4 linked regions of the Coturnix japonica genome follow. The main gene of each other region encodes a partner of the protein of the gene in region 4 in a complex. Links are inferred from orthologs where the notes say so. Each region holds a gene or a part of one and is shown on either strand. Other genes may lie near its edges.

What was found.
Region 1: CYFIP1 (region 4) and EIF4E share a complex: the UniProt entries of both Homo sapiens proteins name them as parts of the CYFIP1-EIF4E-FMR1 complex. The link is inferred for Coturnix japonica from reciprocal best matches to the Homo sapiens genes CYFIP1 and EIF4E.
Region 2: CYFIP1 (region 4) and ABI1 share a complex: the UniProt entries of both Homo sapiens proteins name them as parts of the WAVE2 complex. The link is inferred for Coturnix japonica from reciprocal best matches to the Homo sapiens genes CYFIP1 and ABI1.
Region 3: CYFIP1 (region 4) and WASF2 share a complex: the UniProt entries of both Homo sapiens proteins name them as parts of the WAVE2 complex. The link is inferred for Coturnix japonica from reciprocal best matches to the Homo sapiens genes CYFIP1 and WASF2.

The regions. Positions count from the first base shown.
Region 1 is NC_029519.1:53,877,418-53,885,114, reverse strand, and holds part of EIF4E (eukaryotic translation initiation factor 4E), read left to right. Parts: intron 1-4,090; coding exon 4,091-4,197; intron 4,198-5,861; coding exon 5,862-5,957; intron 5,958-7,200; coding exon 7,201-7,264; intron 7,265-7,697. UniProt on the Homo sapiens protein: Acts in the cytoplasm to initiate and regulate protein synthesis and is required in the nucleus for export of a subset of mRNAs from the nucleus to the cytoplasm which promotes processes such as RNA capping, processing and splicing.
Region 2 is NC_029517.1:14,559,331-14,566,010, reverse strand, and holds the end of ABI1 (abl interactor 1), read right to left. Parts: intron 3,497-6,680; coding exon 3,311-3,496; intron 1,865-3,310; coding exon 1,689-1,864; 3' UTR 817-1,688; downstream 1-816. UniProt on the Homo sapiens protein: May act in negative regulation of cell growth and transformation by interacting with nonreceptor tyrosine kinases ABL1 and/or ABL2. May play a role in regulation of EGF-induced Erk pathway activation. Involved in cytoskeletal reorganization and EGFR signaling.
Region 3 is NC_029538.1:1,773,451-1,781,147, reverse strand, and holds part of WASF2 (wiskott-Aldrich syndrome protein family member 2), read left to right. Parts: exon of another isoform or gene 1-103; intron 104-247; 5' UTR 248-271; coding exon 272-401; intron 402-4,182; coding exon 4,183-4,317; intron 4,318-4,829; coding exon 4,830-4,983; intron 4,984-6,041; coding exon 6,042-6,159; intron 6,160-7,154; coding exon 7,155-7,285; intron 7,286-7,697. UniProt on the Homo sapiens protein: Downstream effector molecule involved in the transmission of signals from tyrosine kinase receptors and small GTPases to the actin cytoskeleton. Promotes formation of actin filaments. Part of the WAVE complex that regulates lamellipodia formation.
Region 4 is NC_029516.1:117,488,103-117,495,799, forward strand, and holds part of CYFIP1 (cytoplasmic FMR1-interacting protein 1), read left to right. Parts: intron 1-1,627; 5' UTR 1,628-1,634; coding exon 1,635-1,751; intron 1,752-1,916; coding exon 1,917-2,006; intron 2,007-2,609; coding exon 2,610-2,687; intron 2,688-3,352; coding exon 3,353-3,454; intron 3,455-4,411; coding exon 4,412-4,593; intron 4,594-5,247; coding exon 5,248-5,344; intron 5,345-5,488; coding exon 5,489-5,617; intron 5,618-6,164; coding exon 6,165-6,269; intron 6,270-6,461; coding exon 6,462-6,553; intron 6,554-7,647; coding exon 7,648-7,697. UniProt on the Homo sapiens protein: Component of the CYFIP1-EIF4E-FMR1 complex which binds to the mRNA cap and mediates translational repression. In the CYFIP1-EIF4E-FMR1 complex this subunit is an adapter between EIF4E and FMR1.

The sequences.
Region 1 (7,697 bases), on a different chromosome or scaffold from region 4:
TAAGTAACTCTTGATTTTGGTACTTTGTGAATAGCTGTCCTAACTGTGGTGCAGTACAGGTATCTACAAGAAGCACCAGGAGATAAGCGACGTACTTTTGCCATAGACATCTGCAAATTGGACCACGCATTTTTCTTCTCTTGGACACCCGAAGCGAGGGGGTGGAACCCCTCAGATGTGTCTTAGTTTGGTTTAATTCAAAGAAACTGCACAAGCTTCTTCTGCAAGCTGAATTCTCTGAAGTTTCATCAGGAATGCACACGGGTGTGAGGTTGCATCCTTCTGGAACATACATGTCATTCTTTTAACTGCACTTCCTAAACAACTTTTGTAGATCATTAAATTATGGATGTGGTCGGGGCGGTATCTGCGAACACTGGGTGGAACCTAGTCAAGCGGGTTGCTTCTTTTAAATAACCTGACTATGCAGTTCTTGCAGTGAGAAGCACCCATTTCCTGTCCCAGTGACATGCACACCTTCCTTTCATACACTTGTCGTTATGTGCTGTGGAGACGGAATGAATAACACCAATTAAGTCTGCAAGTGTCAGAATCCAGGTAACGTGCAGATAGGCACAGTCACTAAATGCTGAGTAGGTGAATATTTCGTAAACTCCTGCAAGCTGATTCCTACAGCAAGAAGCATGTGGGTAGCAAATGTCACTCCTAATTATGTGCTGTATTGTGTTTGGGGAGTAGGATTGGCCATTTGAAGCTTTCCAGTCTGGCTGGTAATGCTACCCTCTTTTATTACATCTGTTTTAAAAGCAGCAAACTCAGTGATGGTTTAATAGTAGACGCAATGTCAATTTTAGGTTAAAGAAGGCATTAGTTATGAGCAATAGTAAAATACTGTAAATGAATATAAGTCTAGAAGCCCAGAAACTGTGGGCGGAGACGATCTGGCTTTAAGTTAATAGTGCAGCAATTGCAAGACTTCGAAGTGTGAACTGGTAAAACACACAAAACATAACTTTAATTCACGCTGTATTTATAGAATCATGTAAAGGCAGTGTTGGGTGCATGCTTGTGGTTTGTTGTAGGATTTCAGTAGCTGGGAAGAGGTTGGGCACAAGAAAGGGATTCTGGCGGTTACTTTGCTGGCATGCTTTGTGTTTGATTAATGGGAAATAGTTTGCTATGCAAACACTTCTGTTTGGGTAGAATGGTGAGATAAATGAGATGAAAAGAAAAGGGAGCCGGTATGGTTAACTAACTGAAAATGAAAGTCTTTTTATTTTGATGGATAACGCTGGGAAATGAAAGGTAGCGCACATGAGCTGCTTTAAGCTTCTGCTTTAGATTAAGTAGAAAAGCTTTGTGATAGAAGACTTTGCTTCCAACTTTACACCTGCTTCCAAGTTTACTGTGGTGTGTGCAGCTGTACCTGTCCTTGATGAAATCCTCCTCAGGCTGGGCTCGTTCTCAAGGAGAACTGTGTGGTCCTGAGCTGAGACCATGGCCAAGTCTTAGAAGTGAGTTGTCATGTGCTGCTTTGGGCAAGAGCTTGAAAGGTTGGGTAGTCTGAGCTTCATTAAAGTTATGCAGCTTTCAAAACATCTTAAGAGAGTTATTATTATGGTGACTTAAAAACACTTCTGCGGAGTCAGATGTCTCCATTTGTTCCAAAATGGACTTTCATGTGGTTACCCTGTCAAGGGTGACCTTTGGTGTACAGGGTTGGTACAATGAGGCTCATTGTGTTTTTGCATTGTCTGCAGGTGCTGTCTTAGGCCTTTCTGATGTTGTCTTCCATTAGAAATGAGAAATTGCATTTATATGGTAGTCCTGCATGTGCTTGGTTTTGTGTTAATCCTTCCAATTGGGATCATTGTGTTTCTGGAAGAGTGAGCTGAGAGATGCCAGAATCAGCTCTTTGTTGGTTGAAAGCTCTTTGCTGAGCAAATGTGAAGTTTGACAAGACGCTGTTGGATGTTAAAGTCTTTAGCGTTTGATATCTACTATTTAGAATTGATTTACAACTGTAGAATAACGTGAATGAAAGCAAGTATTAGCATGAACCCTTGCACTTAGTTTACTTCCCAAATACTGATTTTTATTATTATTTTTTATACCCTTCAAATTAAGTGTTTGACAGGGTGTTCTGTGTACGCCTTGATTTCATGTATTATACTGCAAGCTGTAACTCAAGGGAGCTGCTGAAATACTGCTTTGGTGTATTTGGTCGCCTTTGTGCACTGACCATCTTAATTTCTTCTCTGTGACTCCTGTGTGTGATTAAAGGGAAGGGTAAGGATCTAATCCCATCCCATCAATTTAAAAATAGATGTGTCTAAGACTGTAAATCTTGCTCTAGAAAGGATTTGAAACTCTCACTGGTCCTCTACTTAATTCTTGAAGGACTCTTCTGTTTGTTAGAGTATTTCACTGGAAGAAATAGAACAGATTGACAAGCCCGCAGAAGGCAGTGTTAAGTAGTGATGGCCCTCGTAAGGGACTCTTTAGAAAGCATTTATTCCCTTAAAACAGGTGGGAGATTGTACTACCTACCCCTTGTAACGTGTAAATCAAAGCAGTACCCTAATTGTCGCTGCCCCATGAGGCCTTCTTATCTCACTCTGAGCATGGGAACATATGAAAGCCTTCTTAAACGTGGTATAAATTATGTTTAGCTTTTGAACTAATGTCTTTGCTGGGTAGACTGTTAAAATAAGCATCGTTTTCCCCAGGCATGAAGGTGTAGTTTGTCTGAAGTTAACTATGCTGCTGTTCTTAAGCAGTAGCACTAGATGTATTGATAATGAAAGTCTGTGTTAAGCCCGGTCTCTAGATGTTGCCAGAAGAGTTTGTCAGCTGGTCCGGTGAAGGTTAAGTGCTGCTTGTTATCACTTCAAATCCATTCCACTTTTCAGCAGCTCTGGTCATGACGAACTGAGTAACTTGGAAATTGCTCCCTCCATTAGATGACAGACTTAATCCACTGATTTACCTAATCCACTCCTATGTTACTTTATTCTTTTAAGACCACAAAAGTTAAGCTCTATTTAAGTACTGCTTTTGCTTTGCTACATTTAGGAATGACTAAGGTCTTTGGGTCTGCTGTAATTCATATTTGTTTATATTCTTAAAGTGCTTTTTCTGGGATAACTGGAGGAAATGAACTCTATTGTTCATTTCTTGTCTTATTGCAATATTCTAGCATCAATTGCAGGTTAGGGAGAGATGGTGGTAACTGGAGAGAGCATTTGGCCTCACAATAAAGCTTTGTATTCTAGCTTTGAAGGTATGCCATTAGAATTGCAAACCCGACACAGTGGTTTCTCAAATGACAAGCTTGGTGGTGGTGGGGGGGATGTTATGTGCAAAGGGAATGTTCTTTCTCTTTTGTGTTGAAACTTTTGATATCTATAACACTCTGTAGAGATTTGGGGGGGGGGGGGGGGGGTGGAACATAGAATTGGGCAAACCTGTGATAAATCGTGTGAAATTAAATATCAGTTTGATGTTTGAGAACTAATAACTGTTTAAATTATGTTGCTTGGTGCCTGAAACATTGTTAGTAGTAATGTTGCAAATAAAGATACCTGCTTACCATTTTAGTTTGTTCCCTGCCTACAGTAGTGATTTTATATTGATAAGTTCTGGATCTATATCAGACTTGTAATAGCACATTTTTCTAAATAAGCATGGACTTTGTTTACAGTGACACTTCGTTTTATCCAAAAATCATCATGTTTTCGTTGTGAAGCTATTACTGTTCTGGGAATTAATTTAGAGGTGCCTATTCTAGATAATGTACAATATTGTTTTTTTCCAAAATAACTCAGCAGCATCTTAGTTGAAGACAAACTTGTCCAGGAAACAGAGCTGGGGACAAATGACAGAGGCAACAAGTTGATGAACAGCTCAATGGGAGCCCCTGCAACTGGTATTATAGGGCCTGTTCAGGTGGTGAAAGATAAAGGGATACAAATTGTGCTTCTGTGATGTGATTTGACACCCCACCCTCCCAATCCAATTTGAGTTAGAGGAATTCTAAGTTTCTGCGGTCTTAAAGTTACTTGGAAGAGCTAAAGTGCAACAATGAAAATTGAAAAGGAACTTATTAATAAATCCTTTCTTCAAACAGGAAACCACTCCCAACCCTCAACCTTCAGAAGAGGAGAAAACCGAGCCAGCGCCTACTCAGGAGGTTGCCAACCCTGAACAGTATATTAAGCATCCACTACAAAACAGGTGAGTAGTATGGAAGCCATGATAATGGAACTGAAAGTAGTGAAGCTGCCTTATTTTGCCAAACTGCTTATTAGGCTTGAAATATCCGGAATGGCTGGTGTCTACAGTAATAATGTCATCACCTGTAGGAAGCACAGCAGAAGAAGCACTGTAAAGAGCTAATGCGTATGCTTGTATTAATGTCTCATTAAGAGTAAAAGCTGTAGGGCACCTGAATTTTCATTTTTATCGAGAAAAATACGGAGTCGCAGTTGGAAATAAAGAAGAAGCATTGAAAAATCCAAGCCCTCCTAATTAAATTCTATGTTTAGCGTGCAGAAATAGGTACTACTTAAATTAGTAAGCTACTATTGCTTTCTGACTTTGCTGCAGAGACAGCGAGGACTTCACAAGTATAAAATTTCTTGATAAACTAGCACTTGGACCGACTTTCTACAGAAGTTTTAAGCTGCTTACAGGTTGAATTTGTTTAAATGCGCAAAGAGACTGCAGCACATACATGTACTTCAAATAGAGCAGCTGGGTGCTCATCTCCTCAGCTAAGGAGTTGTTGTGGAGTTGCTGTTAAGTGCTGCCCTAAATAGAATATTACTGTGTGTCAGGCTTCTTACTCTTTTCTGTTCTGAGCGAATGAGAACTATATGTCATGTTTCATCTTTTCCCTCCACTCTCTGCTGTCTTCTGTCCGTTTTCCTGTAATTACTTTGCTGACACTTTCCCATAAGTGGTGTGGGACTTTTTCTAGAAAATAGTTAACTTCTAAAGCAAGGTTTGAAATAGTCAGTAAGTCTCAGCAAATGGACACCAGGTGTTTTCAGGAGTACTGTGGCAAGATAAATCTACTCTAGTGGTAACTCGAGTCAGCTCAATGCTCCTGAAGTGATCAACATGAGAAGTAGGCCTCTTCTGTTAAACACCTCTCAGGTATCTCCTTCCAGCATTTTAGACAATATTCTTCTGATTCCTAAGGAATGTCTTTGAGTGTAAAGATGATTTCTTTTTTTCTAATAGTAGGTGTTGAAACTTGTACTCAGTTGAGACGTTGAAGAAAATAGGGTGGAAAATTTAAGTATTCACTTGTGTGAATCTAAAAACCCGAAGTGAAGCTTAAGCTGGTAGTTTTATAAAAAATGAATTCAAGTGACTTCTATTGAAATTTGTTCTCCCGGTGGGTGAATGCTAGGGAGACATTCATCTATATGCATACACTAGAATTAGCTTTTGACTTTTACAGAGAAATTATGGAATAGGCAGCTGAGTTCCAGATTGGGATAGTTGGCACTGCTTCAAACCATGATTGTTACTGGTGGGAGGACTTTGCAGTTTACCAGTGGCAAAAAGGGGAATCATCTGAGGCTTAGAGATTTAGTCTTAGAAATGACCCAAACACATTAGAAATAATTACCTCAATGATAATATAACTTGATATGATGTAATTACTTGATATGATAATCAAGTCTCCCATGACTGTTGTAACTCTAGGATACATGCTGTAGAGCTAGATTTTAGAAATGAATTTTTCACATTGCCAGCTAATGAAAACTGCTTTCCGTGCTAATAACCTCTTGAGGTTTGCGATTACTTGGTATATAATCAGTACTGAATTTTATTTGTAACGTGCTTTAATTCTAGATGCTATTATTCTGTACTCTGTTCTCCTTTAGATGGGCGCTCTGGTTTTTTAAAAATGACAAGAGCAAAACTTGGCAAGCAAATCTCCGTCTGATCTCAAAGTTTGATACTGTTGAAGATTTTTGGGCGTAAGTAAACATGCCTTGGTCTGCACAATGCTGATATGTGATAGCTAAATTTATGCTGAAATCAGAAGGTGTAAAGTTTTTCATTAGCCACAACTCTTTGGAAATACCTATAAAATTAATGGCCAGATCTTGATTCTTCAGAGTTTGCAAGAATGTAACCCAGAATAATATAACATTTGAATTATGTGTAATTGGAGAAGTTCTTCATATTTTTAATGCACATCAGTGAAAGTAGCACCATCAGAGAGGAAACGTGTTGAAGATTTTAAGCTGATGTTTGTCAGTACAGTCATTGGAGGAAGGGGAGCAGGACTCAGTTCTTGAAAACAGTTTTTGCATCCCCCTGGTGGGATATGTGATAAGTTGTTTGAAGCTTATCAGTGTACTTAGTGATGGGTAAGTTTTTGAGCTGTGTAATCAAGGCTGTAGTGGAAAAGTGTTCAGATGTCTCCAGTCAAGCTATAAAATAAGTTGAAGTAGTTAGTTTTCTTTTTAGTACTGGACCATGCCTAAGTGTTAGTTAGTCTTGAACTACAGTTTAGTGTTTGATGCAGACCATCTTCTGAAGTGTCACCTTAGCAGTGCAGGAAAGAAAAGCACCTGCCTTCTTGCTAGGAGGCTGTATGAACTGCCTCAACTTCTTAGCTCTCAATTGCATAGTCGTGAATTTAATTCTGGCTGTATTTTGTATTGTTCTTCCAGTCATCTGTTCTTGCCATATGAGTTCTTATTTCAGTTTGAATTATCGGGCTTACAGTCTTCAACTACAGAGTACAGAAGTGAATAAAATCTAATTGAATACTTTTAAAAATCTCTCTGCAGAGAGAATAACCATAGGTGTTTAAATTGTTATTCTATTAAATTGTTATGCATATATAGAGGACGAGTACACATGCACAAAACTTCCTTTTTTGCATGAAAGTTCAGTAAGTTATGTTTATTATTTTTAACTTGTTAGAACTAAGTTTAGAAGAAGGAAAGGTATTTCTGGGAAATACTGTGGTATAGGAGCCCAGCAAGTGTTGATGAAACCAGCTTCCATTCTGCTTCTTTGAGCTAGAACTCATTAAAGCTAATGCTTTTGTACTGCTGGGGGAAAAAACCTAGGTAACAGGGTTGCTTCTGAATTACTTTAATGCTGTTTAAATTTTGTATTTTATTCAGACATGTCCTAAATTCTTTTAGCATTTTGTACCTTAAAATAATGTTTAGTTTTTAATCCTGCTGTTTTTCCCTCCAATAGTTTATACAACCATATCCAGCTCTCTAGTAATTTAATGCCTGGTTGTGACTACTCGCTGTTTAAGGTATGCTTGCTAACAATTTTTCTTCCATTGTGGATGTTGATCGATGGTTTCCCGACTAAGCAAGACTGTGTCCAAACATTTCATTTCAGACATGTAGGAGCACAGCTGGAGATGTCCTAAAAGTCTTAATTTTTAGGAAGTCCCAAAAGTGCACTCTGAAAATCACAGTTACTGATACTGAAAATGCAAGTAATTCCTTGAGCATTTTAAATCCATCACGCTTTGATCTGTAGTTATGTTTGTCTTCATTCTAGCTTTTAGGTGTTTGTACGAATCATTAAGTCTTAGTTTTATGAAAGAGATTTTTCCAGTTGTCACTGTCACATGAAATTAGCCATAGCTGAGTTCTATGCAGAACTGTGATGTTTGTCAGCATTCAGAATGAACGCTACTAGCCAGCTGCACAGCGCTCCTGTAATTAATTTTTATGACA
Region 2 (6,680 bases), on a different chromosome or scaffold from region 4:
TGATGCACAAAGGCCACAATGAGAATAAATATCAATCAGTGTATGAAAATTGAAGTTGCTCCGGATTTCATTCATTCACAACAATAAACAGAGCATGCATGTTGCTATCTGTTCAACAGAGGTAGTTTGAATGCTTCCCTGGCTGTTAAATTACAGAAGTATCTGGAATTGTGTATAGGGGAAGAGATTATAACAACAGATAGCGTGTAGACTTGAATAGGTTGTATATGTAACTAGTTTCCAATTCATAATGAAATACAGGTATGTTATTGGTTGTTACTTGCCAGCAGTTGGGAAAGTAGAAGGTTTAGTATTTCAAACCCACGCTACAATGAATGATTCAACAGCCAGCCAAAGCTTCAACTCCATCATCTTCCATCACTCATTTACAGAGAATATCCAATGCCCTCTCAGTAGAAGACTGCTTTGAAGTCACAGACACATTCCTATTACAGTAATTATCCAGTACTACCGCATTCCTTTTCAGGTTATTTAAACCACAGTATTTGCAGAACAGAAGTATCACCTCTAGCTATCTCTGCTTGTTATCCTTTGATGCAAATGGTTTAAGTGTGTTGCTCCATGCCAGGTAAAAGGAATCCTCGTCCTGTTCTGGCTGTTTCCTCTCTGTCAGATCTGCAGCACAGCCCCCTGTCTCTGCTCAGCTGGGCACACTACCACGTCCAGACACAGTTTCCACTGAGAAATGTCAGCTACAGACAGTGTCAACTCATTCTATCTAGATAACTACGTTCAACTCTTGCTAAAACTGACACTGGAAGAAAAGAACTTTTAGGAGTTTGTATAAATGGGTAATTCAGGTTTCATATCTAATTTATTTGCCCTCTGTCAGTGATAAAGTCATGTTACAAACATTTGCTTTTTAGTACATTGCCTGGGATAACACAGCCGTGATTTTGCTACGTTAGCATTCCAAACTTCTTTGTCAAGCCAACCAACAAAGTAATGGACAAGACCTTTGGTTCACTTATATATTTATGAATGGAAAAAGTCATAATGTAAATTTACTTATTAAAAAAACTTGGGTACAAATTACACATACATAAGACCACCCATTTTTTTGATTCACATGGACACCTTAGACCCGAACAACTCATCGTAATAGACTTTAGTGAGAATACTCCAGGTAAAGATTACAACAATTGGAAGCATCTTGGATTTTTAAAAAAGTATATTTCAATACATAAGTTTGTATGCATGCTTTAAACAAATATAGTTCAAGAATGAGCAAAGAGTCTAAACAAAAAGTAACATGACCAGCACTAACATTAAACTTCTCATCCAGATTTTAATATGTTAGTCTAACGTAGTGTTAGTTACCATGCTGTACTGAAAAATGTAATGGCACAATCTGAATCATGGTTCATTAAATATTATACCCTACTTCCCCAGAATATTTAGGCTGGTCATAAAATTAACAATGCGTAAGTAAATAAGTATAACCAGTTATAGACAGTTGCTTGTTTTACAAATTGCCATCAGGTAAGACATACTGCCCCCAGAGACTCAGAGAGATGGACATTCAATCATACCATTAAAACAGTATGGCCTGAAGAAATGGGCACATTTTTTGGAAAGTATATTAAGACAATTCTGTTAGCTTTTAGTTACCCCTTGTAAATAATCATGGTATGACCGAGTACAAGACCCAACTTGGAAAAGCAATTTTAATCGGCATAGTGCATGATTGACTCAACATAATTCCCAGGAAACAAGCCGGTTACTCGATTGCAAACTCCTTCATACCAGCCGTCATCGTTCTTCTTTATCACATAAATGATTGCACCCTCCATAAACGACAGCTCGTCATCTTTGTCCTTTGTATAGTCATATATAGCAACAACTGTGGATTGAACAGGGAAAATGTTAGCACTATGTTAATAGCACCCCTCAGCATCATCATATTTTGTAAAGACTTGTTTGCCATCCTGGCATTTTCTGTTCTGAATTCACAGTTTTCCCATTCAACATCAAGTCCAGAAAGTGACTTCTCCCCTTTCTTGCAGTCCTGGCTGCCCATAAGCAGTGGGTGGTGACTGCACTAAATGCTCCTAAGCCTTCTGGCATGGGCTGGCTGGGGTGCTGTGCACCAGTGCATATGGCCACCTATAAGCTGGGTTATGCACTAGGTGGGCCTAGTGAATGTGGTGTTCATTTCTGCTCAGACTGCCCCAAAGGCATCGATCCCTGCATATCTTGATTAGAGAAAGCCTTAAAAAAAAAATCACTCTGCAGAAGAAGACCACTAGGAACATTTCTTACACAATAGCCCCTGCAACTATACCATGCCCTGCATGCAGTACAGCCAGCAGCAAGGACTGAACACAGCAGTTCCACCGCTGCTGCCAAGATGGTACCACAGACACATTGCATGCACATGACAGTACCAGCCAGGGCCTGAGAAAACTTGCAGCGTTGCTGTTGACAGACTGGTCACTGCCCTAAAAGAGACAGCTCCATGGGCAGGAAATCAGTCATTCGCGGGAAGAAATGTTTATTGTATGAGTTTATGTCTAAGCACATTTACAGTCTGCTGATGCAGACTCACTGGTATGTCTCACAGACTCACAGAACGGTTTGGGTTGGAAGGTACCTAAAGGCCCATCCAGTTCTAACCCCCTGCAATGTGTAGGGCTCCCACCCAGCAGCTCAGACTGCCCAGGGCCCCGTTCTATCCAGCCTTGAACACCTCCAGGGATGGGGCACCCCCTGCTCTCTGGGCAGCCACTGCCAGGGCCTCCCCATCCTCAAAGAAAATTTCCTCCAAATATCTAACCTAAATCTCCCCTTTCAGTTTAAAACCATCCCTCCTTGTCCTGTCACTGTCTCCATGGAAGGCCCACTACATTTCACAGCAAAAAGCTTCATGGTCTGCTCTCGCTGGCTTTTCAGCTGGATGGGGGATAAAACAGGACAGAGCATGGGCTTTCTGGGCTTTGTGCAGCGCTCTTTCTAGATGACTGCTCAGCAGCCCTGAGGTAGCCGCAGATGCAGTCCAGCAGCTTAGCAAAGATGAAAAGCCATCGGATTCATATCTGCTTCTCATAACTGTTTTGCTATATTTTTTTTATCCCTTTATTCTAGAATGCTTGAAGATATTTTATAATCCTTCTTTAAAAGGATTATGTTTTATCACATCAGGTGTAGCCACTGACAAACTAAGAACAGAACGCTTCGAGTTCTGACTAGCAGGGACAATGACTTTTCATCAGACCAAACTTAGTCATTCACCCCCTTCAGATACCATTAATCCCTGGTGCTGCAGGTACACAGTTGCAGCCCTTCCTACCTTTCTCTATGTAGTTCTTCGGCGCCCAGGCAGGATCTCCATCCGCGTAGGGATCGCTGTACTGCACAACAGCAGCCTCCTCGTCCTCATAGTCCACAGGGGGTGGGGGTGGAGGTGGGGGGGAGTCATCGAACATTGGCATCTCATCGGGGGGCGGCGGGGGGGGAGGAGTCGGGCTATCGGCAACTGGAAACGTTGGGAAAGTTTTTTTACATGAAAACCAGCGTGCAGATATAAACAAACCTGAGGCTGTAGACTGTAAATAAAAGGGGAGGGGATGACAACACACAGCATGCGCTATAATACCATGCACTGATTAGAAACAGAGGCTTTGTATTAACAGCTACAACACGCAGCTACGTTCATTATTAGTGGTCAGATCTACGTAGAGATGCTACTAGAGTCAAAGCACATGCTGCACGGCATAAGCTGAACACCAGCAGCGGGCAGCCCTGCTCGCCGGCCATGCTGAGGGCTGGCTGCAGCGGAAGCTATGGGAGCACTGCGAGCAGCACCCTCTGAGCCGGGCAGCAGCAGCTGCTGGGCAGCCAGCAGCACAATTCGTTCTGCACAAAGCCTGTACAACCACTTCCATTTGTTTGTGAACACTGCTTCTTTGGATTCCTTCTCTCAGAGCTATCCCTAAGAGGGCAAAAAGATCTGGTATAGATCACAAAAAGGGATGAGACTGGGCTTCAGAATTAACCAAGTGGGAGAAAGCCAAGCAATCTTACTGCGGAAGAAAAGCTTTGTACTGATCAGCATCCCGCAGACTGGCTTGTGTGTATGCACACATCCAGGATCCGTTAACAAATGGAAAACTACAACAGGCAGCTGCTGCTCTTTGGGAGAAAGTGCTCAAGGCATTAAGGGAGCAATCCAAAATGTCAAATCCCTGCCCTGAGACTCTCCAACCAGCACAAGTTGCTTTGGGAAAGGGAAAAGAGAAAGGCATTATGGAACAAACCACTCTTCCAAACAGTTCTTAGTAACCAGCAGCAAAGGGAGGAGAGAGATCTCAGATGCGAGACACCAGGCTGCCCATCTCATTCCCTGGATCTGGGGCCACTACACACAACCTGGGTGGGAGTTACTGTAAGGAACCATCACCGAGCTCAGTGCTGCTGCATAGGCACATGGATTTAATGACAAGCAATCTGGGAGTCTGCATATGAAACACAGACACAGGCTGAAATCCTCTGCTCTGAGAGGGCATAACTGAAAGAGCAGGGCATGTGCTCTAGAGCACTGCTATCTTTAAGAAAGACAAGCTGGAAAGCAAGGAAAGTACACAGCATGGAGTCAAGCTCTAGCTATTGCTAGTTACATTTGTTTGCTTTAATGCTCTTCACTTCTGCCTGGCCACTACTAACCAGTGACTAACCTTTGGTCAGTAACACAGCTCAGGGCAGCTCTGAAGCTCTAGCTGTGCCAGAGAGGCTGTGCTGTGATGGTGGAAGGCCACAGCCCCCCAAGGCACTGCTGTCACCTCAATCACAGCTCCCCGCAGTGTGGCTAGCTGAGCTCTGTGCCCCACAGCCTTGTGTCAGGAGGCGGCTGCCACTGTGTTAGCAATTCCTCTTCCATACAGAAACCCAGTGATGTCACTTGCAGACAGACTAACAAAGTCTCTGTCCAACTGAGCGCTCTGTCTTGCCTGCATTACTGAGCAGCACTCACGGGCAGGCTTCATTATTACACCACAGGCACATGACAGCACTATTTATAAACACACGGGGTTCGTGTGCTCTTTTCAGCACATCCTTCACAAAATGCACTCCTACCCTTCATATCCAGCTCCAGCCAGGAAAAGAAAAGTACTGAACAACAATCCTTTGAGATGCTGAGAAATCCTTACCTTAATAAAGGCTGTATTTATTCAACAGTGAAGATGCTTATTTGACAAGAACAAAAGAGGGCAGGAAATGTGAGCATGGAAGCACCAACACACACCCTGACCAAAATGCTGTGCTGACACTGTGTGTTTTATGGGAAACGTGGAAAACAATTCAACATCACATTTACACAAGGGGAGAAAACAGAACAGAAAATCAGACAAGTGTCACCCCATGAATGCGTCCCCACCTCCGGGATTGTAACCCAGACATTGCCTGGCTCTCAACTCAGCCAGGCAAAATCAGGAACAGTATTTATTTTTCTAGGGGAAAACATGGCATACAAAAGTACCCTAAGTGAGGAAGGGTACAGGGACCAGACTTAACAAAGCTCCAAACCGAAGCATCTTCTCTAGCTTCTATTCACATCCCTGTTGTTAAGTGGGGCCCTGCAGACTCCTCTTTAACAGACTGGGTGTGAGAGTGCAGCAGCTGACAGCCAGTCGCTGATCCCTGGGCACGTTGCTAAACCTCTCTGCAGGAAACACCCACAGCTTGGGCACAGGGCGCAGGAAAAAAGAACAGGCCTCGAGCATTTTCTAATCCCCTGCCCTAGAAAAATTCTGAAAGGAGTCCACAGTGTGCACAGAGAATGCTTTCGAAACCCACCAATCTTTATGAAAAGGGAAAAATTACTTTTCCCATAAGACAGAAGCCTACCATTGTCTCTGTAACTCCATTCCCTGTGACTGTGCTGAAAACAAGATATATCAAGGTCCCCTGCCATCCAGTTCTGCCGAGTGCATGCACAGCTACCACATACACTCCCACCTCTGATACAAGGCAGCAGCAGCAGCTCAAAGCCACATTCATTAGAGAACTCTCAAACCCCAGAGACTATTAAAGAAAGAAAATAAACATGATAATTCCTAGACCAGGTTTCAAGCTACTTTCTGCTGCAATCTCATTCACAAGTCAGCTTTAATTTTTGTTGTGACACGGACAAATAGTCTTTCCCTTTCACCTCTGCTCTCCCAAGTGCTGCGTTATCTCCAAGAAGACAATACATGGAACAATTCAGAAGCAGGTGTCAATTTTCTCAAGTTTATCTGCAAGTAAAGCCATCTTTAGTACATCTACCTCTACACTTCTCATTTGGAGAAGGTATGTCAATTTTCTGGCATGCTAATCAACATAAACACAATTCTTAACATTCACCTAATATAACACCAAAATACCTTCTTTCTGAATGGGAACCACAGAGATGCTTCTTATGCCTGGGGAAATGCTCACAATATGAGCACTAAGGAGCTCATAGGGGAAGCTTTATAGCAGCTCTGATCAGTGCGGAGGGCCCCTCAGCATATCCTGGAGCACCACTGCACAGTAACAGTCCCTGAGATTCTAACAGACTCCACCATGATTCCCAAACACCCCAAAAATGTGTTATTTTATGCCCTACCTGCATTGCATTCTTTCTGTTGTCTACAAAACAACAACATTCTCCCACAGCAAAGATAAACCTAGAGCAGGAG
Region 3 (7,697 bases), on a different chromosome or scaffold from region 4:
GGTAGTTTTCCATGTCTGCCTCCATACCTGAGCTGGTGGGACTGTGCTGTCACCGAGTCACAGAACAGCGGGATCTTTATTTCTGAAGGACCAGTATTATAAGGTCGGGGAAGGGAGGGGGAAAGGAGGCTTATAAATAAAGCCATTTGAGAGCAGGAAAAACGAACACCACGGCTCTGGTGTGCCTGGAATTTGCGGTTGAGTAATCCTTTCCTGTTTCTTTTTTGGGTTGTTTTTCATCTTTCAGAACAGCGCCTGAAGCAGGTCCACCATGCCGTTAGTAACGAGGAACATTGAGCCAAGGCACCTGTGCCGTCAGACGTTGCCTAGCGTTCGAAGCGAGCTGGAATGCATGACCAACATCACCCTGGCAAATGTCATTCGACAGCTGGGCAGCCTGAGTGAGTACCATGGCGAGCCTGCGCGTTGCCCTCAGGAGTCGCTAGTGCTCTTTATTTAGCTCCCTTTCTACTCTTGTGTTCCTATTTCTCCCCCATCTGCCTTCCCCGGGTAATGCTAAAATGTTTTCCTAAAGAAATGCGATGCTAATTTCATATCCCTGGTCCCACCGCCTTCCCCAGCTAGAAGAAACTGGGGAGGGGGTGTGCGCATGTGTGTGCGTGCGTGTGTGCGAGGCTGCAGCAAAGCTGCAGATGGAAGGATGGAGCACAACTCAGCCTTGTAAAATGGGAGGCTCTCGGAGCAGCCAGGATCTTGTGTCAGAGAATGTGCCTCTAATTGCGTGCGCTACTAAATGGAGCTTGACTGTGCCGAAGCTATGGTGTGTAAGTAGTCTTCTTTTTAATGAAGGATAATTAAAGCGCCCGTGCAGAAGCAGCCTGTTGGCCCCTGCTGTGTGCTACCTTGGAAGACCCAAAGTCCCCAAGCATTGCCTTTGGAGCACAGGGGGCTCAGGGCTGCTCGCACAGACGGCAGCACCGAGCTCAGCTCTCCGGTGAGCTGCCCCATAGCCTGGGAAAGGCTATAGGGAAAACATGGGCCTGCATGGCATGGGAGGAGAGAAGAGTTAATGGTGGTCTCTGTGGGATGGCTCCGTCCTCTCTTGAAATGCTCTGGCTTCTGATTAGCCGCCTCTGCCCTTGAAGCGAGACTATGAGAATCCAACTCATATTGTTGAGCTTATTGGTGGTGTCTGCGAGCACTTGTGCTTGCTCTGCAATGTAAGGCCCTTGCCTCGTGTGGCAGGAAAGCCTCAGCTACAGCCTCTTTCCAGCAGTGAAAGCCATGGCTGCAACTGAAATCGGGGCCTGTGATGGCTGCCAGTCGGTGTCACGTTCTGTTTTGGGCTGTGGAAATGTCACTGCACGGGCAGGACCCGTCCATCCGCTCACATCCCACTGACCCCTGTTGGTCGTTTGGTGGCTCTGGTAGCCAAGATGGTTGTGGAATGCGAGGAGAATCCATCTCGTGCATGTGAAATGAGGAGGAAGGAGGCAGTAAAGCTGTGCAGATCTCAGCTGCAGAGAAAGCTAATCCCAGTCCAAAGGCATGCAGCGGGTTAGTGTGACAGAGCCCTGGTGAGATCCTGCAGATTTAGGCCGTCTTTGCAAAGCTCAGATATTCAAAGCTTCTCCATGGCTGCCTCAGCTGGACACAGTGAAGCACTGGGAGCCACATTGCAGCCAGGCTCCTTTGCTAGGAAGGTGCCCTGTGATATCTGCGTGGTGCAGGGAGGGAGCTGCATGCAGCCAGGTACCTGGAGGAGAGCAGGGCATGTGGGGGGATAATGAGCACCATCCCTTATCCGCATCCCTGTGGTCAGCGGTGCTTTAAATGAAGCTATTTAGACTCGGTGCTGCACAGCACTCGCAGCCAGCTGACCAAAGTCCTGCCCCCCTCCTTTACCTCTCTTACTTTGGAGGAAGAAATCCACTCCTCCTTCGTACGCTGAGCGTTGAGGGAATGCGAAGCAGGTTCAGTAGGCTGTGACAGCTCTGTCAAGTGAATAATCAGCCATGCCTGCTGCACCACAGTCTCTTTACAAAGATGCAAACATAAATCTTGTCAAACTTTCATATTCCAGTGAGTTTACCCTTCGTTACTATCACAGCTGGTAGCGCTCTGTATAAGCCGGCTGTGCAGTGCTATGGAATGCACGAGCTAAAGATGGAGAGACCTATTGAATCACACCGCCTGTCTTCCTGCCAGTGCGTGACAGAGATCATTCTGATTGTGAGTTGCACTTTTGCAACAGTCAAAGTAATGAGACCAAAAATGAATCTCTGCCTTTCCCCATCTAAAACTGCACGTGGAGCACTGAAGCGTATGCCAGATCCTGAATGGTAACTCAGGACTGATGCACTTAGACAGGTGAGGGAACACCAACCATCCCTGCTGCTTACGGGGCTAAGGACACCACGTGCAGTGCTCTTTGTGCTTGAAACATGCAGCTCAGCACCACAAACTTGGTATCTTCCCTTCTACTTGTTGCAGTTCCTGGTGAGATTTGGAACTGATTCTCGGTTCTCATTAACACAGAACCAAATTACAGCTCTGTGGGCTGTTGCTGGGAGGGGCAACAAATGATCACGTAGGTAAGTGTTCACTTCCTTTGGTCAAACAGGAGAGCTGGTGCTGATGGTGAGCACAGAGTGCTTGGTGAAACGTGGCTGCAGTGAGTGCAATCCAGCCCTTGGGTCTCCATGGCTGCAGTCCTCCCCATGAGGTTGGGGAGAGCTGGCTGGGCTTGTTAGCAGAGCATACGTGGAGTCAGTGCTGTCCAGGTGAGCCGAGGGAGGTCAGCTGCAGTTCACATCCAGCTTTTACCTTCTGCAGGCACTTGGAGCTGGCACTGCCACCAGAAAGGGTGGGGGAGGTTGATTTTTAACCTGCCTCGTTCTCCGTGCTTGGCAGTGTAAGGAGAACTGCGTGGCATTGTGAACGAGTCACTGATAACAGGGGGGGAATGAGCAACCTCTGCTATGGGTGTCAGCTCAGCCCTGCTGGAAGGCTTTGCACAGGCACTACCAGCTGCCATTGCTGTGCCTCGTGGAGGGGATCTTTCCCCTGTGACGTGCTGCAGACAGCCACATTTTCCAGCATTGCTGTTAAAGTCGGCCTTCCCACTGCTTATCCTTCCCTGAATGTCGGAGAGGATCTCTGGGACTAACAGATTCCAGAACAAACTGCTGACCGTGTGATGATGCACTTACAGAACCAGACGGCTCGTTGGGAGCAGCCTCGTGCTCAGCAGCCGTGCCTGGAAATGTTTCCCATCAATGGGAACTCGGTGGGTCTGGCTGCTGTCAGTGCCAAGTCTGTTCCCACCCCATCAGTGCTGTCCTCTGCGTGGTTATTTGGGGTTCCCACCCTCAGGTTATGCTGGAGAGCAGAGCACTAAGGACGTTGCTCCTTTTAGCTTCTTATTCTGTCAGTTCACCCATCTCTGTTCACCCGTGGTCATGTCTCCTTGCATATGTAGATTTTAAACTCTTCAGGACGGGGGGCTTCTTTTTGTTAGACTTGTAAGTGGTGCAGCAGGCTCCTGGTCCAAGCCCCGAGGCGCTCTCACCATCCAAACGATGGATGATGTTTGTCATCGCAGCTCACTGGGCAAGCCAAGCTGTTACAGAGAGAATATTCCTGTTGGAGAAGTTCCCTTTTGGTTTTGATTTAGAATAAACGTGAATGCATCAATTTTTCAGACACTGCCACCTGAAGGAACAAAAGGGTCAGTGCTTTTGTCTGCGGTTATAGCTCAGGCTTTAGGATCAAGGACTGGGTCTGCTCTCTGGTTCCAGAGCTCTTTGAGCTTGTAAATATGTGCCAGTTCCCCTGGAGGCGGGTCTGCTGGAGACCAGGAGCCTTTGAGCTTCTCCAGAGCAATAAAAGTCTGTGTTGTCTTGTCTAATAAACAGCAGCAGTGAATCTTAAAGGACCTGCAGACCCATCCGGATTCAGACCACTGTTACGTTGTCAGCCCTCTTTTTCATTACTCTAATACGGGCTTGAAAGCACGTCTCAATTGTTTCTTTGTGGCCCAGAGATCCCTCAGAAATGTCAGGTGTTGGTGGAAGGGAATGTTGTCTTTTTGGGTGTTGCACCCAACCCTGGTGTGGCTCATTCTTCTTTCTTTCTTTCTTTCTTTGAGAAGACAAAGTGGGAGTCGGCGTGTGGTTTGATGTGGCTGATGATGGTAACACGGTCACTTTAATACTGCAGGTAAATTTGCTGAGGACATATTTGGAGAGCTGTTCACTCAAGCCAACACTTTTGCCTCCCGGATGAGCGTTCTTGTCGAGAGAGTTGACCGCCTGCAAGTCAAAGTCACTCAGCTGGATCCCAAAGAGGAGGAAGGTAATGGAGTGCAGCACGGTCCCTGCAGACAAAGCGTGGTAAAGGTTCTCTTGGAGCCCGGCTGGTCCATGGCCCTACAATGAGCATGGTGCTATGGTTGGTGTTAATGTCTTCTCTTGGACTAAGAGGGACTGTTCTGTCCCTCCCAATGAAGCCCGGTGCTGCCATGTGAGCATCCATCTGGCTGGGGAGAGATTTCCTTGTTAGCAGTTCTCCATGTGGAAGCTCGTCCTTCAGCAGTTGGGTGCCCATAGACTTCCCAAGTCTTGGTTGCAGGGGTTTGAAACCACGCTGGCAGCTATTGAGCCGTGTCTGTACAGCAGCAGGTTTTGTCACAGCACTGTGTGAGATTTGCTGGGCTTCCCGAGAGATCTGTGGGAACAGGAACCTGAGCTTAAGGAGTGCTGAGCACGCCAAGAACTCCAGCTGAAATCAGATGTTTGCTGCTCGATCCTCAGTGCCGTTGGCCTGGGTCAAGCTGCTCTTCACTCGCTCTTTTCTCTTTCTTACAGTCTCCCTGCAAGGCATTAACACCAGGAAGGCCTTCAAAAGTTCTACAACTCAGGACCAGAAGCTCTTCGACAGAGATTCTTTGCCAGTGCCTGTCCTTGAAACCTATGGGACCTGCAATACTCCTCCACCTCTCAACATTCTTTCCCCTTACAGGTAACACCACAACACCTCCGTAGGCACTTGTTCCCTTACAGAGGAAGCTGCTTCCTCCCGTCCAGCCGAGGTCATTTCCCATCCCCTGCTGTACTGAAGTAGCCATCTTCAATAGGAAATAGAGTTGGAGATCCCCCAGGAAATCTCACGTGAAACTTTGCTTTTGAGGCTGTACAAATGAGCATAGCTAGAAAATTATACGTTTGGTTACCTGCTGTCACTTTTGTGACCGCCTTGGGGCAAGGCTTGCCTTGCACTGCATAAACACGCAAGGTATTGTGCAGGTGATGCATTTTTCTTATGCTTCACTGTAGCCCCGTGGCTTCTTTCCAGAAGGCTGCAGTGCAAATTGCAGAGCATCCATCTGTGTGTGGCTCTCACCCCAGTGGGCGCAGCAGGCTCCTGTAGGTCTGGGGATGCTTCCCATGGCCTCCCACGCCTGCACTGAGACATCCAATGTGACCTAGGTGGGCTGTGTGAGCCCTTCTCTCCTGCTGTGTCGTTCCATCTTGTCCATAGTAGAAGCAAAGGGGGTCAGAATGCAGAGACTTAGCCCACATCCATAAATATCTTCTGAACAGGTAAAAAGTAATTACAGATAGCTGGAGGCAGCTGTCTTCTGCCAGACGCAGCTGCACTGCAAAGTAGGAGAGTGAGTGTGTGTGCACACACGAGTTTCAAGGACGCTGCCGGTCTGATTTAGGGTTCCCAAGCTGGAGAAGATTTTTTCACACCAAAAATACAAGACAAACAAGTGGGAGTTGGAGTGAGAGACCTGCTGCTCTCCTGCTGGTTGCTCAGAGCAGCCGAGCTCTGAAATCCAGAGCGTGTGTGAGGGTGGAAGCGATGGCAAGGGGGAGTGCTGGGACAGGCGGCTGCTGCTGTGGGTCTGCTGCCTATTTTTGAATGGAGGACAGAGGTGAGAGCAGAGCGTTTGACCTTCTCAGTGCAGCCCTTTAATCTGTTGACTGGGCTGGTGGCTTTTATTTTTCTTTGGGCTGCAAACAGTTGCATGACTTGGCCTCTTGTTTGTGTGTGTTTCCTCCCCCCTGTTCTAGGGACGATGGCAAGGAGGCGCTTAAATTCTACACGGATCCTTCCTATTTCTTTGACCTCTGGAAGGAGAAAATGCTCCAGGACACCAAGGATATTATGAAAGAGAAGAGGAAGCACAGGGTGAGGGAATGGGAGATCTCTGGCAACAGCAGCATGTCGGGGTGGGAAAGGAGGTGGAAAGCGTTAATGAGCTCCAAAGTTACTCTCCGAAATTGAGGTTTCCTCTCTTAAGCTCTTTGGGGATCAATTCGGAGAAGTTTTGATCTGCTTTACTTTCATCGCTGTTAATTAAAAAGAAGACAACAAGGATACCCTTAATCTGGTTTTCCAAATGCCATCTTCTTTGTGTTGTTAGGAGGGTTTAATTTGATGTCTTCCAACACAGCGCTGATGCAGCCGGCAGAGCAGGGCTGTGCCAGTCTTTGTGCTTGTGGTGGTGCATGGGGGTCTGCTCAGTGTTGAAGCAGTGCAGGTCCCACTGCCCCAGCTCTGTGCTTTGCCAAGTGCTGCAATGAATTCTATTGTGGAAGAGGAAACATTCAGGGGTGCCAGAAGAGTTAAATGAGCAGCCATTGGGAGGCTTAGCAAAGCCATGCAAGCTGAAAGCACCAGGTGAAGCTCCTGGTTTGGTTACTGGGGGATTTGAACCAGGTGACACCACAAAAGCTTCAGTTTGAGCGTACCTTATTTAGCGTTTGGGCAACCAAAGTCCTGAATATCAAAAGAGTAACAAAGGAGGGAGCCTGGACGTGTCAGAACATAGAAACCAAGGCTCACGGCAGGTTCACCCAAAGCATTAACACCAGCAAAGCAGTGGTAGGGTTTGGCAGCCTTGACGCACGGGCCAGAAGCAGAATTGATGTGGGGAAATGGAGCTCTCGCTGCCCTCAAGGTGGTGGTGCCAGGCTGGAGCCCTGCCGTCGTGCTGGGGAAGCTGGGTGGTGTCTTTTGCTCTGCTCCATCTTCTTTGTCTGGGAGGACGTTGGAGCTTTCAGCAGTCAGGAAAATGAATGACAAACCCTGGCCCTCTTGTCTTATCCAATCCCTTCCTGTTCCCGGTGAGTTTAAAGCAAAAAAAGGCTTTTGTTTGATTCCTCCTCCCTTTCCTCCCCTAGAAAGAGAAAAAGGAGAATCCGAACCGAGGAAACGTGAACCCCCGGAAAATCAAAACCAGGAAAGAAGAGTGGGAGAAACTGAAAATGGGGCAAGAATTCGTTGAGATCAAGGACAAACACGGCCCTGCTGGGTAAGCAAGTGCAGGGCTCGGCTCTGCTCCCCAGCAAGGGGCAGCGGGTGGCGTTGATTGTAATGCAGTTCACCCTGCTCTGCAGCTTCTCCAGATCCGCTGCACAGTGCGGATCGATACTGCCACTAATCAGATTCTCCAAAGTAAATCCATCTGCGGATTTAGAATTTGCTAAATAAATCAGGGAGCCACACGGCTTCAACAGGGTGGCAGGAACAGCCTCAGCAGCACGGCTGCTCCCATCTGCCTGCCTGGCGGGCACGCAGCACAGAAGGCTTTGGCTGCACACCCCGTGGCAATGCCCTTCCATCACCCCGAGCTCTGGGGCTGCTGCTGAGGAGCGGGGTGGCATCTCGGTGGTGTGATGGCTTTGTTAAATCTCACTACCGGCTCTTCACGCCCTGGAGTTGAA
Region 4 (7,697 bases):
AGTGCGCGCCCATTTGCTTACATTCTCCCAATTCACAGAATGCTGCTCTATCTTTGTGAAATCATGCCGAAGGGCTTGGAAAAAATGTCCTTTCCTGTGTTTCTTCTCACAGTCTGAGGGGCAGCAGGAAGTCTTCCTTTCGTAGCCCTGTGCATCCGTCCTGCTGAGGGGCATTTCTCAGATTGGTGCTGTTAAATGGACTGCAGTGTAAGTGAGAGAGAGTTTGGGCTTTGCTTATCCTTTGGTTATTAGTTCTAAATTACTTTTCTAGTATCTGTATCTTTGGCTCTTGTTCCACACTGGGAAACAGGGCTGTGTTTGAGGAGGGGTAGAAGGATCACAGTATGGCTGAGGTTGGCAGAGCCCTCAGGGCCTACTTGCTCCAGCCCCAGCTCCAGAATCACAGAATTGTAGGGGTTGGAAGGGACCTCCAGAGATCATTGAGTCCAACCCCCCTGCCAAAGCAGGTTCCCTACACCAGGTTGCACAGGTAGGCGTCCAGGCAGGTCTTGAATATCTCCAGAGAATGAGACCAGCAGGGACACCCAGAGCAGGGTGCCCAGGGCCACATCCAGGCAGCTCTGGGAGATCCCCAAGGAGGAGACCCCACAGCCTCTGGGCAGCCTGTGCTGCTGCTCCATCACCTGAACAGCACAGGAGTGCTCCTGGCTTTCAGAGGGAGTTTTCAGCATATAATAGGCTTCAACTTCCTTGTGGGACTTGTGCCCAGATGTGGAATTCTTTTGGCATTTGTTTATTTATTGAAGGGAAGATGCTATGGCTTTTGCCTGCCTGTCATTTAAGAATAACCATATTGGCTGTGAAGGAGCTGTGCTGACTGCAGGCAGCTCTGTCAGCAAGCACTCCTGTCAGTCCTGTCCTTCATCATTTTTCAACTGGGACTGCAAGTTGTACAACATGTGCACTGCTTATTTATTTGTTTTAATGAAAACTTACCTGCTCAGGCTCGAAGCAGAGCTGGAGCCATCGATGGTTTCAAGAAGCAAATGCCTGCAGACCTGTCTGACAGCAGTTGTTAGAAACTGTTGGTGAGCTCTCTCCATGTGTGGTTTGTTGGTTTTGCAGCTACAGCTCAGCGTGCTGGTTGGTCTCTGAGGGCAGGTGGTTTATCAGTTCTGAGTGTTTCCTTCCCTTTGCTTTGGTTTTTGCTTTTACTCTTTGTTGTCTTTGGTGGTTTCTTCATTTGTTTATTTTTAACTTCAGATTGATGGTACTGTCCTTATGGTTACATCTGAGGGCAGTCCTTTTTTCCTGTGAATTTGATGTCAGTCTTTCCTCTGGTTTTGGTGTGGCAGGGAAGAAGAGAAGCGTTTCTGAAGTCATAAAGTAAGGAGGAGGTTGTTAGTCCTAACATTCATTTTAAACTTGTATACTGAAACCGGCTGGGTTTTGGTTTGATGGTGTACCTCTTCCATTATGGTGTCTAGGAAATGTTTTCATCAAAGGGAAACTACCTGTTTCCCACAGTAGTAATGGTTCCCTGCTCTTTGCGGTATTTGTTTGTTTTCTGTTTAAGTGGTTAGATGTATATATAGGAAAAAAAAACAACTACAGTTACATGTATGTATACATATACATATATATGTATGTATTTTTTTAACCACAGCTGCAAAATGACTGCTCAAGTAACACTGGAGGATGCCTTATCCAATGTGGATCTCTTGGAAGAGTTACCATTGCCAGATCAGCAACCGTGTATTGAACCCCCACCATCATCTCTGCTTTACCAGGTCTGCTGTCATTTTAGACAAAAAATACTGCAGTTCTTTTGCAAGAATATATACTCTTAAAAAGCAAGCAAACAAAATAACAATAACAGAACTGTTCGCATTTATGATACGTAAAAATTATTTTCCTTCCCAATAATTTGATTTGATATTTTGCTTTCTTTGCAGCCAAACTTCAACACTAACTTTGAGGACAGAAATGCATTTGTCACTGGTATTGCAAGATACATTGAGCAAGCTACAGTCCACTCTAGCATGGTAAGAAGGTGTTCAGGTAGATACGTCTCTGCTAGCTGGAATTAAAGGGAAATAAAGGGTCATTTTGCATGTCGTTGTAAGAATTGTGGTCACAGAAAAGAAGTTGCCTGTAACGTTTCCAGGAGGCAGTAACACACACAAGAGTGTGGCATTTCTTTTCTTGCACATAATTGCCGGTAGTTTTAAAAAATTTCCTGTGCTTCTCTGTCAGTGTAGTGACAGTGAGGGTTTATTTTTGGCTTCCTCACTGTATACATTTGTTGTTTATTGACATGCTTTTGTGTCAGGTCTTTTGTGGTATTTAACATAACAGTTACACAATAGAAGATGAGACTTGTTAGTCATAACTCTCTCTCTGCTGGTGATATTGTTGTTTTGGGATACAAAGGAACTTGCAGGTTGTAAACACTGTTCCATTCTGAACTTTTAGTTGTTTTGTGCTGGTTTAAAAAACATGCAGTAAGATGTATCATTCAGCTTGCAATACACATTTGCACATATACTTTCTGATAAGAAAAAGTTTACTTTGGAACAATGGCAGAGAAATGAATTTAACTCCTATGTTTTACACTGCTATATTGTTACCGAGTTTCTCTCTTGCAGAATGAAATGTTAGAAGAGGGCCAGGAATATGCTGTCATGTTGTATACATGGAGGAGCTGCTCAAGAGCCATTCCCCAGGTAAAGGGTCCGAAATAAACCATCATGTATCATGTGCACTTCTGTCTTGGTTACAGATTTAGTAATGAGTTCTGAAATTAAGTTTGCTTTGATCCCTGAATTAGCAAGCTGTGCATGCCATAGAACAGTGTCTTAACACATGGGAACTAGTTGGACTTCTTTTTTTTTTCTTCCCCAAACATTTAAATTCAGAGCAGGTTTAACAGGTGATGCAGCATGTGATAATTAGCATTTGGGTTAAACATCCTAGGTTTTCAAATGGTTATTTTCTCCTTGTCAGAGCTATGCAGTGTTTTCTTGATCCGTGTGCAGAAATAAAAGCCTGTGAATGCATGTCTGGGAATGGTGATACGGGGATGGGATGGGAAGAATATTAAGATGCATCAGGAAAATTAAAGTTGTGAATTGGCAACAGCTTGCAAATATTTTTATGCACAAAGAACAGAGATAACAGAGAAAAAAAAATAAATCTCAATTTCTGTTTTTAAACTCGATGAAAAATGGCGAAGATTCACTAATGCCAGCTATCGATGCCTTAAATTTGTATAGTTAAGATGAGAATATGTTTTCTAGTTTGTCATTTGGGATCTGAGTTTCTGAGGGAATTTTTTTTTTTATCTGGGAAAGCTGTAAGTGTGATTGATGGTCTTTCTAATTGTCTTCAGGTTAAGTGCAACGAGCAGCCTAACAGAGTGGAAATTTATGAGAAGACAGTAGAAGTTCTGGAGCCAGAAGTCACAAAACTTATGAAGTTCATGTATTTCCAGGTAAAAGGAATAGAAATTAAACATTTGTTAGCAATATTATATGCTTATTCTGTATGCTTGATATTACATGCTCAGATATTCAACTTAATCGTTATAATTTGGTGGAAAAAAAGATCTCTCAGAAGGGCAGCATTTCTAAAACTTCAGGAGTTTCACAGAATAAGAGAATTGCAGGGGTTGGAAGGGACCTCTAGTGATCATTGAATCCTACTCCCTGCTAAAGCAGTTCCCTACAGCAGGTCTCAGTGGGAAGCATCCAGGTGGTTCTCGAGTATCTCCAGAGAAGGAGACTCCACAACCTCTCTGGGCCACCACTCTCACAGTAAATAAATTCTTCCTTGTGTTTGTATGGAATTTCCTGTGTTCCAGCTTCTGCCCATTGCTCCTTGTTCTATTGCTGCGCACCACCACCTAAAAAAGAGATTCCTCCATTAAGACTTTGAGGATAAAATAGAAGGTAATTGCACATGGTCCCTGACACCATGGAAGGAACAGAAGTGCAACACATTTTGTGTATGTGTAAGGCAATCTCAGATGGCCCTGGTGCACACTTGGAAATAAGCCCTCAAATAACCACGTGCAAAGATGGCTGTGCTGACATTAATCACTATTCTGCTATAAAATCACTTGTTTCAAAGGGATTTTAAATTTTTCTGACTTCAGATTGCAGATAATATTTCCAATTGTGCCAGGCAGGTTCTGCCTGTCATAAGGAAATCCTTTGTGACATTTGTAGTACACAGAGGTGAAGCTGGAAAGGCCGTGCTCATGTGTTGTTGGCCTCACAGGCCTTAAATGTTTTTGTTGCTTTGGTGGTGCTTTTCATCACCTCTTATAGGTGCACCAAAGTGGACTGTTGTTAAGAGGGGAGGACAGACAGGTGTGAGACCTCTGGTTGTGGGATGAATCTTGGAAACATTGTGGCTTTTACTCTCTGACTCTTTTTTGTTTCGTTAGAGAAATGCAATTGAACGGTTTTGTGGGGAGGTGAGACGCTTGTGCCATGCAGAGAGGAGAAAAGACTTTGTCTCTGAAGCGTATCTGATCACACTGGGCAAATTTATCAACATGTTTGCAGTACTAGATGAGCTGAAGAATATGAAGTGCAGTGTGAAGAACGACCATTCAGCCTACAAGAGGTGAGCTCTTAAGGACAGGATCAGGATTTATGCTGTGGGGAGACAGAGCTCCCACAAGATGGCAGCAGTAGCTCCCTTTTGGGCAGCTTTTTCTGCAATTACTGCAGCTAAACCATTGACTAAATTGACTTTCTTTATGCTGCTCTTCCAGCAACTAAAGATTGTTCTGTCTTTTGAGGCAAAACTGGCAAGTACTTCTATCATGGCGTTCACTAAATGTATTGGATATGCACTGCTCAATACTGCTTTTCAAGTTTCAGAGAAAGCTGACTTTTTGTTCTACTCCAGTTTTTGGCATCCAGTTTTGATGCTTGTAACTTAAAGTTGTTCTTACGATATTTCAGTGTTGCTCTTAAGAATTGTCAATAAAAGGGTAGGTTTGGCTAACATGTTTTTGTGAAGCTTTGGCAAGAAAGCACTAGCCTTATGTGTAAAAATCTTTTTCTGCCTGATTCAGGAGATGGGAGATATGCAAAGGTCAGTAACCTTGTACATGCAACAAATGGTGTTGCCATTGTACTGATTGTACTGATAGTTACAGGTTCTATTGACTACCCGATAGATGCAGAGATGAGTGTGTTGAGAGGGGATGAGTTTGCTTACAAGCATTGCCACTGAAGGGAAATATGGTTGTTTTATTTTCTATTTGCAAAGAGCTGCTCAGTTCCTACGGAAAATGGCAGATCCTCAATCCATTCAAGAGTCCCAGAATCTCTCCATGTTCCTTGCTAATCACAACAAGATAACACAGGTAAGCTTCAATTGCCTTTTTCCAAAATACTGAATGCTGTATAAAACCTTTAAAAGAAAACCCTTTCAGTTTGGTAGTAGCTGCTGATCCTAAGGGACTGTAACTTCTTGACTAATGTCCTTTCTCCTTTTTTTTTTTTTCCAGTCGTTACAGCAGCAGTTGGAGGTGATTGTTGGCTATGAAGAACTGCTTGCAGATATTGTGAATTTGTGTGTGGACTACTATGAAAACAAAATGTATCTAACCCCCAGCGAGAAACATATGCTTTTGAAAGTAAGTTTCTTTTCAGTACAAACTTAAAGAAAGGTTGAAGCAGAACAAAGATGTTTGCATTCTTCTTGGATTTTTGTTTCCTTTTGCCAGAACCACATGAACTTTTAACACTGAATCTGTTAAGGAAACTTCTAATCCATTTTTGTTCTTCATAAATTGAGGTTAGTCTAACTGAACTGCAGCCTTGTTGGGAAACTAATTCTATAGAGTGGTGTTTCTATGAAGTATAACAACAACAGAAGGGAACTAGGGAACCTTAGTTCTAGATAGGTGGCAAATAAAAAGGCTTCTGGAGGTGATGCTGCGTATCAAAGCTTTGAGGAAACAAGTAACTTAAAAATTAGGGTAAGTAATCAGAAAAATTTAGCTCATATAAGTACATTTAATAGAAGAGTGCCAGGCAATGTGTATCAGTTGGTTGATAAGCGAAAGAAGTAGAAGAAGAAAGAAGTATGGAGTAAATACTGAGTGTTTGTCTTATGTTTTCAGCGTGTTTTTACCCCTGAGGTTCTTTTGCAGAGAGCTTTGTTTCTTTTTCTTTTGCCAGGTTATGGGCTTTGGATTGTACCTGATGGATGGAAGTGTCAGTAACATCTACAAGCTGGATGCAAAAAAAAGGATAAATTTAGCCAAGATTGACAAATTCTTTAAGGTTGGTTAAGATAAGCATTTCCTAATATGTAATGTAGAAGGCAGTTCCCCCTGCATTTTAAATTGACGGCCAGATTAATATAATCAAATACAACAAAGATCACTTTGGACTATCACTGGGTGAATAGCATTTTCCTTTCACTAAGATGCATATTTAATCATTTATCTAATCTAATCTATTCCCTTTGTGCAGCAGCTGCAGGTGGTTCCTTTATTCGGTGATATGCAGATTGAACTTGCAAGATACATCAAGACAAGTGCCCATTATGAGGAAAACAAGTCGAGGTAGGTAGGACAAGGATACAGAGAGGGGAGTATATGGGCTGGGGAAGTTCAGACCCATAAGGTATAATTTCATAATCACCTGATAATAATCTATGGTAATTACTTTAAATAGGATTTTCACCTTGGTCCATTTTTTGGTGTGGGTATTTCACTATTAATGTACTTTGCATAGTAGATACAATGGAAAGGACAGGTTATTTAACCATCTTTCTGTGCTGCTGAGCTATTCTTGCATCGGTGGCATTGCTTTTCACCTGGGTTGGAGGATGTAAAATTTACCTTACACTAATGTAATTTTTATCTTTTCCTTTAAATATGAAACTTTCTGTAAAAGAAATGAAGGATTATACTAAGCAAGGTGAGCAGTAGTGCATGTGTATATTGTACATGGAGCAGAAACTTAGCTTGTGTCCCTCTTCTTTTTGTTTTGGTAGGGGTACAATGCAGCAAAATGGCTAGAAAATGCAGCTGTTTTATATAAATTGTTCCACGGTTTATGGTTATTGCTTCATTTTAGTAAATGTTCCTGTGCACCTCTGAGACCTTCCCTCCATGCAGTTATGTGAATTTAGAATGTAGTGCTTCGCATTTTAATTCCTGCAGAAAAAAATATGTAACTTGCATGTAATTGCTAAGAGAAAATCAACAGTAGCGAGCCTACTGAGCTACTAAAAGTATGAGGCTGTTTAACACAACATTTGGTAGCATGTATTTTGTGTCTCTCTTGATAACATGTTAATAGTATTTAATAATATTTTTATATTTGGAGCATACTGTAAGCTCTCCTTAGTTAAACATGAATGAAGAAGAACAAGCTGAAAGTGGCTAAACATCTTATGGCCTATACTTGTCCCTCTGCCCTGGCTTTCAGTCCTTTTTGGTCCTGTCCCTAAGTGTGTGCTTTTGAAGAGAGATGGCAGTTTGTATTTCACAGCAGCAGCAAAGTGAAAGAGGAGATGAAAGGTCTCGCATGGATGAGAAGGAAGATTTAAGGAAAAAAAAGAAGTCACACATTTTTGTTCTTTCTTTTTTAGTATCAGCTGCAGTCTTTATTGCATCAACTGATTAAAGATTTTTTTTGTCTTCTGCAACAGATGGACGTGCACGTCTTCCAGCAGCAGTCCCCAGTACAATATATGTGAGC